Rattus norvegicus: one gene and its partners. The protein of the gene in region 1 purifies or fractionates together with the protein of each later gene. This does not show direct contact. Links are inferred from orthologs where the notes say so. Each region holds a gene or a part of one and is shown in the gene's direction. Other genes may lie near its edges. The genes, in order: Rel, Tnip2 and Nfkbia.

What was found.
Region 2: the proteins of Rel (region 1) and Tnip2 purify together in Homo sapiens (affinity purification with mass spectrometry; 3 studies listed by BioGRID and IntAct, counting the BioPlex papers as one, with this or other methods). This does not show direct contact. The link is inferred for Rattus norvegicus from reciprocal best matches to the Homo sapiens genes REL and TNIP2.
Region 3: the proteins of Rel (region 1) and Nfkbia purify together in Homo sapiens (affinity purification with mass spectrometry; 6 studies listed by BioGRID and IntAct, counting the BioPlex papers as one, with this or other methods). This does not show direct contact. The link is inferred for Rattus norvegicus from reciprocal best matches to the Homo sapiens genes REL and NFKBIA.

Annotation. Positions count from the first base shown.
Region 1 is NC_086032.1:101,897,796-101,901,439, reverse strand, and holds part of Rel (proto-oncogene c-Rel), read left to right. Parts: intron 1-1,227; coding exon 1,228-1,332; intron 1,333-1,436; coding exon 1,437-1,649; intron 1,650-2,989; coding exon 2,990-3,058; intron 3,059-3,169; coding exon 3,170-3,256; intron 3,257-3,644. UniProt on the Homo sapiens protein: Proto-oncogene that may play a role in differentiation and lymphopoiesis.
Region 2 is NC_086032.1:80,451,705-80,455,448, forward strand, and holds the start of Tnip2 (TNFAIP3-interacting protein 2), read left to right. Parts: upstream 1-1,231; 5' UTR 1,232-1,295; coding exon 1,296-1,574; intron 1,575-3,744. UniProt on the Homo sapiens protein: Inhibits NF-kappa-B activation by blocking the interaction of RIPK1 with its downstream effector NEMO/IKBKG.
Region 3 is NC_086024.1:78,594,564-78,598,307, reverse strand, and holds the start of Nfkbia (NF-kappa-B inhibitor alpha), read left to right. Parts: upstream 1-1,235; 5' UTR 1,236-1,354; coding exon 1,355-1,581; intron 1,582-2,090; coding exon 2,091-2,199; intron 2,200-2,530; coding exon 2,531-2,741; intron 2,742-3,011; coding exon 3,012-3,100; intron 3,101-3,193; coding exon 3,194-3,454; coding exon of another isoform or gene 3,455-3,541; exon of another isoform or gene 3,542-3,744. UniProt on the Homo sapiens protein: Inhibits the activity of dimeric NF-kappa-B/REL complexes by trapping REL (RELA/p65 and NFKB1/p50) dimers in the cytoplasm by masking their nuclear localization signals.

The DNA of each region.
Region 1 (3,644 bases):
TCCCTCCCTTCCTTCCTCCCTCCCTCCCTTCCTTCCTCCTCCCTTCCTTCCTTCCTCCTCCCTCCCTCCCTTCCTTCCTCCTCCCTTCCTTCCTTCCTTCCTTCCTTCCTTCCTTCCTCCCTTCCTCCCTCCCTCCCTTCCTTCCTTCCTTCCTTCCTCCTCCCTTCCTCCCTCCCTCCCTTCCTTCCTTCCTTCCTTACTTCCTCCTCCCTCCCTTCCTTCCTTACCTCCTCCTCCCTTCCTCCCTTCCTCCCTCCCTCCCTCCCTCCCTTCCTTCCTTCCTCCTCCCTCCCTCCCTTCCTTCCTTCCTTCCTCCTCCCTTCCTTCCTCCCTTCCTTCTTCCCTCCCTCCCTTCCTCCCTCCCTCCTTCCTTGTTTCCTCCTTCCTTTCTACCTTCCTTCCTTCCTTCCTTCCTCCCTCCCTTCCTTCCTTCCTCCCTCCCTCCCTTCCTTCCTTCCTCCTCCCTTCCTTCCTCCCTTCCTTCCTCCCTCCCTCCCTTCCTTCCTCCCTCCCTCCCTCCTTCCTTGTTTCCTCCTTCCTTTCTACCTTCCTTCCTTCCTTCCTTCCTTCCTTCCTTCCTTCCTCCCTCCCTCCCTTCGTTCCTCCTTCCTTGCTTCCTCCTTCCTTTCTTCCTTCCTTCTGTTGCTTTTCTTTTTCTTTTTTTCAAGAAAGGGTTTCTCTGTGTATCAGTCCTGGTTGTCCTAAACTCCCACTGTAAATTAGGCTGCCCTTGAACTCACAGAAATCCACCTGCCTCTACTTCTGCCTCTGCCTCCCATGTGCTGGTATGAAAGGCCTGTGCCACCTTGTTCAGCAGCATGATTTTATATGGCTATGTATTAATTTTAAGAACTCATTAATATGATATTTAAGAATATATTTGGTTTGTTTCCTTTTTAAGGATTTATTTATTATTATATTTATATGAGTACACTGTAGCTGTCTCTGTAGACACACCAGAAGAGGGCATCAGATCCCATTAGAGATGGTTGTGAGCCGCCATGTGGTTGCTGGGATCTGAACTCAGGACCTGTGGAAGAACAGCCAGTGCTCTTAACCACTGAGCCATCTCTGCAATCCACCCTCACTGCTTTTGATGATGAACTATTACATGGAACCATGAGTGAATTAGCCCGTTCCTCCTCAAGCTGCCTTTGGTCATGGTGTTTCATCACTAGCATTACAAGACAGTGCTGAGACCCACTGTTTTTAATCCTCTGCATTTAGGTGCCCCAAATACTGCAGAATTAAGGATCTGTCGTGTGAACAAGAACTGTGGCAGTGTCAGGGGAGGAGACGAAATATTTCTGCTCTGTGACAAAGTTCAGAAAGGTATTTATCAGTTTTGTTTAATTGAATTAGTAATATATGTTTGATTAGTATATGTATTTTACTGTTCCCCCATTGTCATTATTCTTTGGCCTCTTATTCACTAGATGATATAGAAGTTCGTTTCGTGTTGAATGACTGGGAAGCCAAAGGTATTTTTTCACAAGCTGATGTGCACCGCCAAGTTGCCATTGTTTTCAGGACGCCTCCATACTGCAGAGCCATAGTGGAGCCCGTGACAGTGAAAATGCAGCTGCGGAGGCCTTCCGACCAGGAAGTCAGCGAGTCTATGGACTTCAGATACCTGCCAGATGAAAAAGGTAGACGAGAGCCGGGGGTGACGTGTGTGTGTGTGTGTGTGTGTGTGTGTGTGTGTGTGTGTGTGTGTGTGTGTATGTGTGTGTGTGTGAGGTGTGTGTGTGTGTTTGTGTGTGTGTGTGGTGTGTGTGAGGTGTGTGGTGTGTGCGTGTGTGTGTGGTGTGTGTGTGAGGTGTGTGGTGTGTGTGAGGTGTGTGGTGTGTGTGAGGTGTGTGTGTGTGCGTGTGTGTGTGTGTCTGTGTGTGTGTGGTGTGTGTGTGTGAGGTGTGTGTGTGTGTGTCTGTGTGTGTGTGTGTGGTGTGTGTATGTGTGTGTGTGTGTGTGAGGTGTGTGGTGTGTGTGTGTGTGTGGTGTGGTGTGTGTGTGTGGTGTGTGTGAGGTATGTGGTGTGTGCGTGTGTGTGTGTGTATGTGTTTGTGTGTGAGGTGTGTGTGTGTGTGTGTGTGTGTTTGGGTGTGTGTGGGGTGTGTGTGGTGTGTGTGTGTGTAGTGGTGTATGTGTGTGTTTGGGGTGTGTGTGGGGTGTGTGAGGTGTGTGTGTGTGTGTGTGTGTGTGTGTGTGTGTGTGTGTGGTGTGCGCACATGTGGGTGGACTGGAAACAGACTCATGTAGCCCATGCTGTCTTTGAACTCCCTATGGAGCTATGGATGAGGATGACTCTTAGCTGATCATGGGGATTACGGCAGTGTGCCCTGTGCACTCCCTGCTGCCTTTTTAAATGTGGTGCTAGGAATTGGGCTCAGGTTTTTATGTGCACTGGCAAGTGCTGAGCTGACCGAGTCCCAGTCTCTCCTGAAGAATAGATCGTTGTCTTAAGCTGATCATGTTCGCAATATTGTAAAATAAATATTTCAGTATAGTTTTATATATTCAGAATCTGTATTTTTTCCTTGGAAGTTTTCAGTTGTATGTTTTTGTCTTGGTTTGTTTTTTTCCTCATAGTCTTTGCATTTCTTAGGAGAGTTTGAATAATTGTAGAGTTCTTGAACTGTTAGATCATATTTTCTATGTATGTATTTTAGGAATTTTTTTTGTACTTTTTGAACCCTTTTATAGGTGGGAAATTTGTTAATCATAAAGCTGTATCTATTGTGGTTGATTGTGTTAGTTCATGTTAACTTTTAGGTGTTTTTAGGTTGAAAAATGACTATTTTTAAGCTTTTTAAAATTAAAAGTGAAGTGTCCTTTGTAACCGATATGGATGTATTGTACAATAACGTACTTAGAAGCCTGTATCACTCACGTGTATTTAAGACTTCCGTATGCCGCTGATAGAGCGCATGTTACGGTGGGGGAGCCAGAATCCCATGGTTCACTGCTTTCCCCTTTCTTTTCCAATCAGATGCCTATGGCAATAAATCAAAGAAGCAAAAGACGACTCTCATTTTTCAGAAACTGCTGCAAGATTGTGGTAAGAACACTTTGATTGAGTTATATTTAAGTAAATGTCTTCTACTTGCTTTATTCTGTCTTTAAATTTTTAAAGTGATAAACTATTTTTTCAAAATACATTTAATAATAGAAAAACGTATCATACCAAGTCACTTCCCTGAGAAAACAAGAGCTGTCCCTCTGGAGTCAATTGGAGAAACAAGATTCATCAAAAAAGGTATTCTATCCCTGTAAAATACTGTTTGTGCGTTTTTTAGGAATAACTTCTTTTTAAATCTCTTTCTTCCCCACAGTCCCTCACATTCTTACTGTTGAGACTGGGCCTCTGAAGGCTATGTTGGAACTGTTATATTTCGGGGATAGGCACCTGTTTATAACTGTTGAACTGTCGAACATGGCTGAGCGCCCTTGGTTGTGTACTGTCTCTCACGGCCATTTTAAAATGGTGCTAGGGTAGGACCTGTGGCATGCTGACCAACCACTTGCCGTGCCCAGCCCCAGGCCAGACCAAGAGTCCCCTCTCTCTTCTGCTACAGCTGCAGAGCTGGACAGTTCCCACAGAGGTTTTCCCGACACAAACCTTAAAACGATCTGCCTTTTAAAGA
Region 2 (3,744 bases), about 21 Mb from region 1:
CCTGGGTTCGGTCCCCAGCTCCGGAAAAAAAAAAAAAAAAAAAAAGGTATGGCCTTGTTGGAAGAGCCATGTCACTTGGGCAGAGAGATTTTGAGACTTCAGCATGCTCTCTGCCTCCTGCTTGGGGATCAAGATATGAGCTCTCAGCTTTAAACATCTGACCCTTAATCCCACTTAAATGCTTCTATAAACTGCCTTGGTCCTGGCATTTTGTCACAGTAATAGAAAAAAAAATACACACCTATTCTCTAGTGTGATAACACCCCTACCAGGTAGGGAAGGCAGCAGCTGCGATGCATCGCTTCTGACTGGAGTTTTGGCTCTGAAGGCTAAGAAGGAGCTGAACATAAGTGAGCCAGGTCCGTGACTCCTAGTATCCATCCTATAAATTCTTGGTGAGGTCTGGCTTTGCATATAGTTTGATACTTGCAAGGGAGTGTGTTCCTGCAGGTTCAACCAGAGCTTGGCTGTGAGCAGACAGGATACTGAGAAGGAGACTGAGCAGAGAAGAAACACATCCTCACCTAGGGAGAGGACTTCCATGAGATCTTAGCAAGGAGCCTTTGAAAGATCTTCACGGAGGAGAGACTTCCCAGAGGAAAAATAGGGTTTGTATGGAAGCTGTGGGAAGGGAAGGGCCAGCGCCCTCCTGTCTTCTGCTTGAAGAACAGTTTCTAGCGCTAAGGCCATCCTAACTCGAATTTAGGGGCATGCTGGCGTTTGGTGGCTGGCTCTGGGGTCCACCATGTACTGTGAGCTCAGTGTCCCTGTATGAAGAAACACAAGTCAAGTCCCTGAAGAGGAAGGAGCCCCGCCAATGAAACCTGACCACACTTCATGTCCAATGTCTGAAGTCCTTGGATTTATTTGCTTTTCTTCAGCTGCTGTACCAGAGGATACCTAACCCCAAACCCTGGTCACAGATGGGATCTGACTCCAGGAAAATACCTCAGACGCAGGGAATAGGGCCGTGGTGACAAGTCTAAGACTGTGGGGCAGACAGCACCTAGAAGGGAGCTGGCACGTCAAGAGAAAGTGAGATCATCGAGAGAGAGGGGCGGTGACAGCTGTGGGCGGGGGCGGAGTCAGACTCCCAGCGGAGGGCGAGGCGGAGCCAGCTGTGTGCGGGGGCGGAGTCAGACTCTGGGCAGAGGGCGAGGCGGAGCCAGCTGTAGGTGGAAGCGGATTAGGCTCAGGGAGTGGGCGGGGCGGGAAAAGTTCCGGGAAGGCTGGTTATCGCTCCCGCAGCCTAGAGAAGTTGGAGACGCCCAAGTCCCCACGGAAGGCCCACAGCTATGTCGTCTGGGGACGCAAGGTCTGGTAGACAGGACGAGGCCCCGAGCGCGGCCTCAGCGCTCTGTGGCCTGTACCACGAGGCAGGCCAGCAACTACAGCTCCTGAAGGATCAGCTGGCTGCGCGTGACGCCCTTATCGCGAGCCTCCGCACCCGCCTCGCGGCTCTGGAAGGGCACACGGCACCATCACTTGTGGACGCACTTCTGGATCAGGTGGAGCGCTTCCGTGAGCAGCTGCGGCGACAGGAGGATGGTGCCTCGGAGTCCCAACTGCGGCAGGTGCGGGGAGGGCAAGAGCTGTTGCCCAAGGTGGCCTAGGGAGCTTGTTGGAGAGTGTGACACTGAGTCCAGAGGTGCGCGAGGTCTTGAGGGTCCCGAGGGTATGAGGCTCGAGGTGCGGGTCTGAAGAGCTCGAGGTCTGGAGCATGGTGGTTTAAGGGGTGCGCTGGGGTTTGAAAGGAGCTGAGTTATAAGGGACACGAGATCCTGAGGCAAGTGGGTCCTAAGGAGCTCTGGGTCCTGAGGTTTCAGGGTCTGAAGGGCGTGGGGATCTGAGGCGCAGGGAATCCTGAGGGATTGGGGTCTGAAGGCGAGAGTCTGGGTAGTTCAGGATACTGAGCACTTCGAGATTCATTCGTAGGCCGGAGAGTTAGGCAGAGTTGAGCAGGAGTCTCTGGGGCACAGGGTTCTGGTGAGCACCAGGGTGGCAGAAGTGTGACGTTTGAGGAGTACCAAGTCCTGACATTCTGTTGAGGTTATGAGCAGTTCTGAGGAACATGTGATGGAGGTTAATTTGGGACAGACCCCCTGGGTCTCTCGACTTTGGGGGTGCTGCTGTGGGAAACTTGCTCATGAAATTCCATGGGGGCAGAGGTCTGAGGAATGTGAGGGATCCGAGAGTGCAGGGATCTGTGGGGCATAATGTTCTGAGGTAGCCTTGAACACATGGTTCTGTTGGTAGTGAGCTTCTCCAATATGTGCTCTGGGTCCCAAAGGGGTGTGTAGCGGCTTTAATCACTGCTTATTACTTTGAAGAGACATCATGACCAAGGGCAACTCTTATAATAGAAAGCATTTAATTGGGCGCTGGCTTACAGTTTCAGAGAGTTAGTTCATTATCATCATGGTGGGGAGTGTGGCAGCATGCAGACAGGCTTGGTGCTGAAGAAGTAGCTGAGAGCTACATCCTGATCCACAGTCAGAGAGAGACACAGGGCCTGGTGTGGGCTTTTGAGACCTCAAAGCCCATCTCCAGTGACATAGTTCCTCCAAGGCCACATGTCTCAATCCTTCTCAAATAGTGCTACTTCTGGATGATGAAAAATGCAAGTATCTGAACCTGGCGCTTTCTTATTCAAGCCACACCAGTGGGGCACCAGGATTGACGAAGATGGAGTTCTGGGAGGGGTGGTGTTCAGGGTTCTGTAGGTAGGGTTCTGAGGGACAGACACTAGAGGCTCTAAAGGACATGAGTGAGGCATGGGGTCAAGAGGGTCTCAAGGACATCCTGACAGGCATTGCTCTTTGAGGAATGTGTACAGGTTCCATTGTGTTTGTGTTGGCTCTGAGGGGGCAGTGCAGGTCTTGGTTCTTGTGTTCTGTGAAGGGAGGTCTTCTGTGGAATGTGAGTTTCTGAATCCTGTGCGGAGTGCCAGGAACCTGAGAGATGCATAGGGTTCTGAAGACTGGGACTCTGAGAGAAAAGACCCACGTTTTTGGTTGGTATTTGGTGTTATATTTAGTATTATATTGGTGTTTGGTTGGTATTTGGTGTTATATTTAGTATTATATTGGGATTTGGTTGGTATTTGGTATTATATTGGAAGAAGCAGCAGATGCCAATCTGAGAATATGTAAATTCTTACTTGGTTCTCCTTGTCATTTGTTATTACTTGGTTCCACAAGCACACAAAACTGAAATGCGTGATAACACTTTCCTGTAGCAGTCGCCTCTATCTGACTACCTTGCCCCACATTTGGAGGAATGCTGGCATGTTATTCCATTTGGTCCATGGCTATCTTGGTTTTCCCCCATGGACAGTAAGCCTGACAGGGGAGCAGCTGGTAAAAGATAATATTGTTTCCAAGATTACCACTGCAACTAGATTTCTTTTTCCTTTTCTTGTTTTCCTCCCATCCCTACACCAGTTGTACTAGGGATTGAAGCTAGAGCCCAGGCAAGTAAGTGCTGTACCATTGAGCTGCACACATCTCTGGTTATTTTCTTGCTTTTTACCCAAACTGGTCTTGAACTCACTGTGAATCTCAGGCAGGCAATGAATTTGGATCCGCCCTGCCTCAGTCTTCCAGGTAGATGGTATTACAGGCTTTTGCCACCAGGCCTGGCCACAACAAAATTCTAGAGGGGGGAAAAAAAGAACGTATTTTTTTCCTGATGGTAAACTTTAGAATACGTGAAAAACGAATCCCACATGCTTTGTGTGTGGTT
Region 3 (3,744 bases), on another chromosome or scaffold:
AGTTGCTACAAGGCTCAACAAGAAAAAGATCACTCAAATTTCACCAGAAATCTATGCAGAACAGGAAGCCTACTGGGTCTATTCTGACAAACTGTGATCCAAGTTGCTTTAATTTTCCCGAGTTACCTCACACTTGCAGGCTCCTAAGTCGGGATGGGGTGGAAGCAACACTTCTACTTTTGCAGGTAAAACTAGGGGATCACAGGCCCAAATCCCTTTCTTGAGGAGTAGCCACCCACAATGCTGCGGTCCCTGGGAAGCAAGGAAGCTAGTAGAACCAGCAGGTTTCAGATGTGGTCAGTGTTAGGACTATGTTGAGCCTCCTGCAGGATGCTTCAAAGTTACTTTCTTAGCTATGTTTAAGAGGCTAGGGCACTAAACCAGTTGTTCTGCTAGGCATTCACAATAAGCTCCGGCTTTATTCTCTACAAGTTAACAAGTTAACTCCAACAGCAAGAACTCAACAGTTTCTGTTGCATGGAAGCTACAACTTCTACAAAGATTAACACCTTGCATTACTTGGGGGAAAATGTGGTTCCCATATGGAGCTAGACTTTGCCCCTCCCCCGCTGCCCCTCCCCCGGGCGAGATTATTGACCCCTCGGAATTAATCTAGGGGTTCTCCAGGCGCTTGGATTTTGTTGTTGTTGTTATTGGTTTTGTTTGTTTGAATGCCAAAGTGTCTACAGCTTCGAGGGGGGATGGTGAAGGGCAGCCAAATGTCCATGCACTGCAAAGAGCCTGAAACACAGACGACCCGGAATCACTCATACGTCCGTCGTCGCAGAAATTTAGGAGAAGCGAATCCCTGCACCCAGCCAGCCATTTCCACTCTTGGGTTTTCAAAAGATCAAGAACCGGAAAGGACCTGCAAATTGGCAAATCTCTAAGAGGAACAGCCTAGCAGGTTTGCGTCCTTGGAATCTCAGCAGCTTGGGACCCCAAACCAAAGTCGTCGGTGGGAAACCCCAGGGAAAGAAGGGCTCTTGTAGAACGCTGGGGTTACTGAGTGCAGGCTGCAGGGAAGTACCTAGAGGGAGGGGGCCTGGTCGGGAGGACTTTCCAGCCACTCAGGGCTCATCAAAAAGTTCCCTGTACATGACCCCAGTGGCTCATCGTAGGGAGTTTCTCTGATGAACCCCGGCCCTGGGTTTAGGCTTCTCAGTCGAGGACGAGCCAGTTCTTTTTCTAGTCTGACTGGCTTGGAAATTCCCCGCGCCTGACCCCGCCCCTGAGAAATCCCCTGCCAGCGTTTATAGGGCGCCGAGGCGGCGCTGCCGAGCCCACAACAGTCTGAACTCGCCACCCAACTGCCAGCAGCCTGCACCCTGCACCCGCTCAGCTCCGCACAGCCATGTTTCAGCCAGCTGGGCACGGCCAGGACTGGGCCATGGAGGGCCCGCGGGACGGCCTCAAGAAGGAGCGGTTGGTGGACGACCGCCACGACAGCGGCTTGGACTCCATGAAGGACGAGGATTACGAGCAGATGGTGAAGGAGCTGCGGGAGATCCGCCTGCAGCCGCAGGAGGCGCCTCTGGCTGCCGAGCCCTGGAAGCAACAGCTCACGGAGGACGGAGACTCGTAAGTGGCGGCGGGCTCGGGCATGGGCACGGGCGGGGTCGCGCGGGGCCTGCACCGCGCTCGGGGCTCTGCACGGCGGGGCTGCGGGGCTACGGGGCTACAGAGCTGCGGGCGCCGGGCCGCCTGCCTCCCCATCCCCCCACCCCATTTCCCGGGACCCGGAGTAGCCGAGCGCAGGCCGGGGGCGGGGCGGCAACGAGGACGCAAAGTCCCCGCCTGGCAGAGTTTCCGCGCAGCCGCCGGGCGCTGCGCGGCCGCGAGGGGAAGTACAGGGCGTTCCGGGCGGCGGAGGGCGGGCCGGTCTGGCCGGCGCCCGCCCGGAGGGGGTGGGGCACGGAAAGTCCCTGGGCGGCTGCCAGGAACACTCAGCTCATAATAACCTCGCGGAAAACACCGCGGCCGCGGCCTCCAGAAACCCCGGCCTTGCGCAATCCCCCGCAGCCCGCGCCTCTCGGGGGCCCCACGCAGTGCGCTCACCACCCCTGGGGGGTTTCCCTGTCATCCCGCAGGTTCCTGCACTTGGCAATCATCCATGAAGAGAAGACACTGACCATGGAAGTGATTGGTCAGGTGAAGGGAGACCTGGCCTTCCTCAACTTCCAGAACAACCTGCAGCAGGTGCGGGCTTGCCCAGCTGTGCCCTCTTTGACCCCGTGGTGGAGTTAGATGAAGCTCAGTCGCCCCCAAAGCGTTTCTAAATTAACAGTCACGGTCCTTATCTGCCCTGGCCTTTTACATTCAAATTAGCCAAAGTCTTAGAGCAAGAAGGAAAATCCCAAGGGTTGGTTGAGGTCTTTATGACCCACGTAGGGCCTCCTGTTTGCCTGATCTCCTGTAGACAAATGGGAGGAGGGGATTCTGTAATAGGAGGTGTCTGGGGTTCAGGAAACTCAAGACTATGGGTTTGCTCCATGGCTTAGGCTCTTTCTGTTTCCTCTTCCATTCGTAGACTCCACTCCACTTGGCTGTGATCACCAACCAGCCAGGAATTGCTGAGGCACTTCTGAAAGCTGGCTGTGATCCTGAGCTCCGAGACTTTCGAGGAAATACCCCTCTCCATCTTGCCTGTGAGCAGGGCTGCCTGGCCAGTGTAGCAGTCTTGACTCAGACCTGTACGCCCCAGCATCTCCACTCCGTCCTGCAGGCCACCAACTACAACGGTAGGTCTGCCAGTCCATCCAGGGACGCAGAGAAGGGAGAGACGGGTCCCCTTGAGTCTAGCCTGGAGCTAAAACGCCTCAACGTATAAGAAGTTCAGGCAGTGTGGACTTTTAAAAAGTCTTCTCCATGATTCCTACATGACGTTCACTGAGAACCCAGACTTTTGAGTTCTTCAAAATTGAGGTTGTTTGTGGTTGTCCCCAAGAAAGGAGACGTGACTTGTGTGAGGATTGAAACAAGTGGTTACAGTTCCGTCTTATATCCTGCAGGCCACACGTGTCTACACTTAGCCTCTATCCATGGCTACCTGGGCATCGTGGAGCACTTGGTGACTTTGGGTGCTGATGTCAACGCTCAGGTGAGTACTTCCCCTTCCTCCTAAACTCTGCTGGGCTGGCTCTTACTGTGAGCAGATTTCCAGATAAACACTTCTGATTGCCTTTGGTTTCAGGAGCCCTGTAATGGCCGGACAGCCCTCCACCTTGCAGTGGACCTGCAGAATCCTGACCTGGTCTCGCTCCTGTTGAAGTGTGGGGCTGATGTCAACAGAGTAACCTACCAGGGCTACTCCCCCTACCAGCTTACGTGGGGCCGCCCAAGTACCCGGATACAGCAGCAGCTGGGCCAGCTGACCCTGGAAAATCTTCAGACGCTGCCCGAGAGTGAGGATGAGGAGAGCTATGACACGGAGTCAGAATTCACGGAAGATGAGGTGCGTGTTCATTACTGCCAGAGTGGTCCATTCTCCCTCACCACACCTAGGTCTGTTCTAGAGCTGTTCTGTATCATAGGGACCTGAGTTATTCAACTTCTCAGTCTCAGCTTGCAAAGCCAGGATCCCAAGAACGTGTCTCTGGTTTGCTTTAATAGCTTACCCTTGTGGGTTTCGGAATGGGGCAGTAAGAGGGAGTTGTGGGAATTGAACCCAGGCTTTAACACGTGGTAATAGGCACATGTTCTACCATTGAGCTATGTCCCCTGCAATAGCTTAGACTTTTGAAA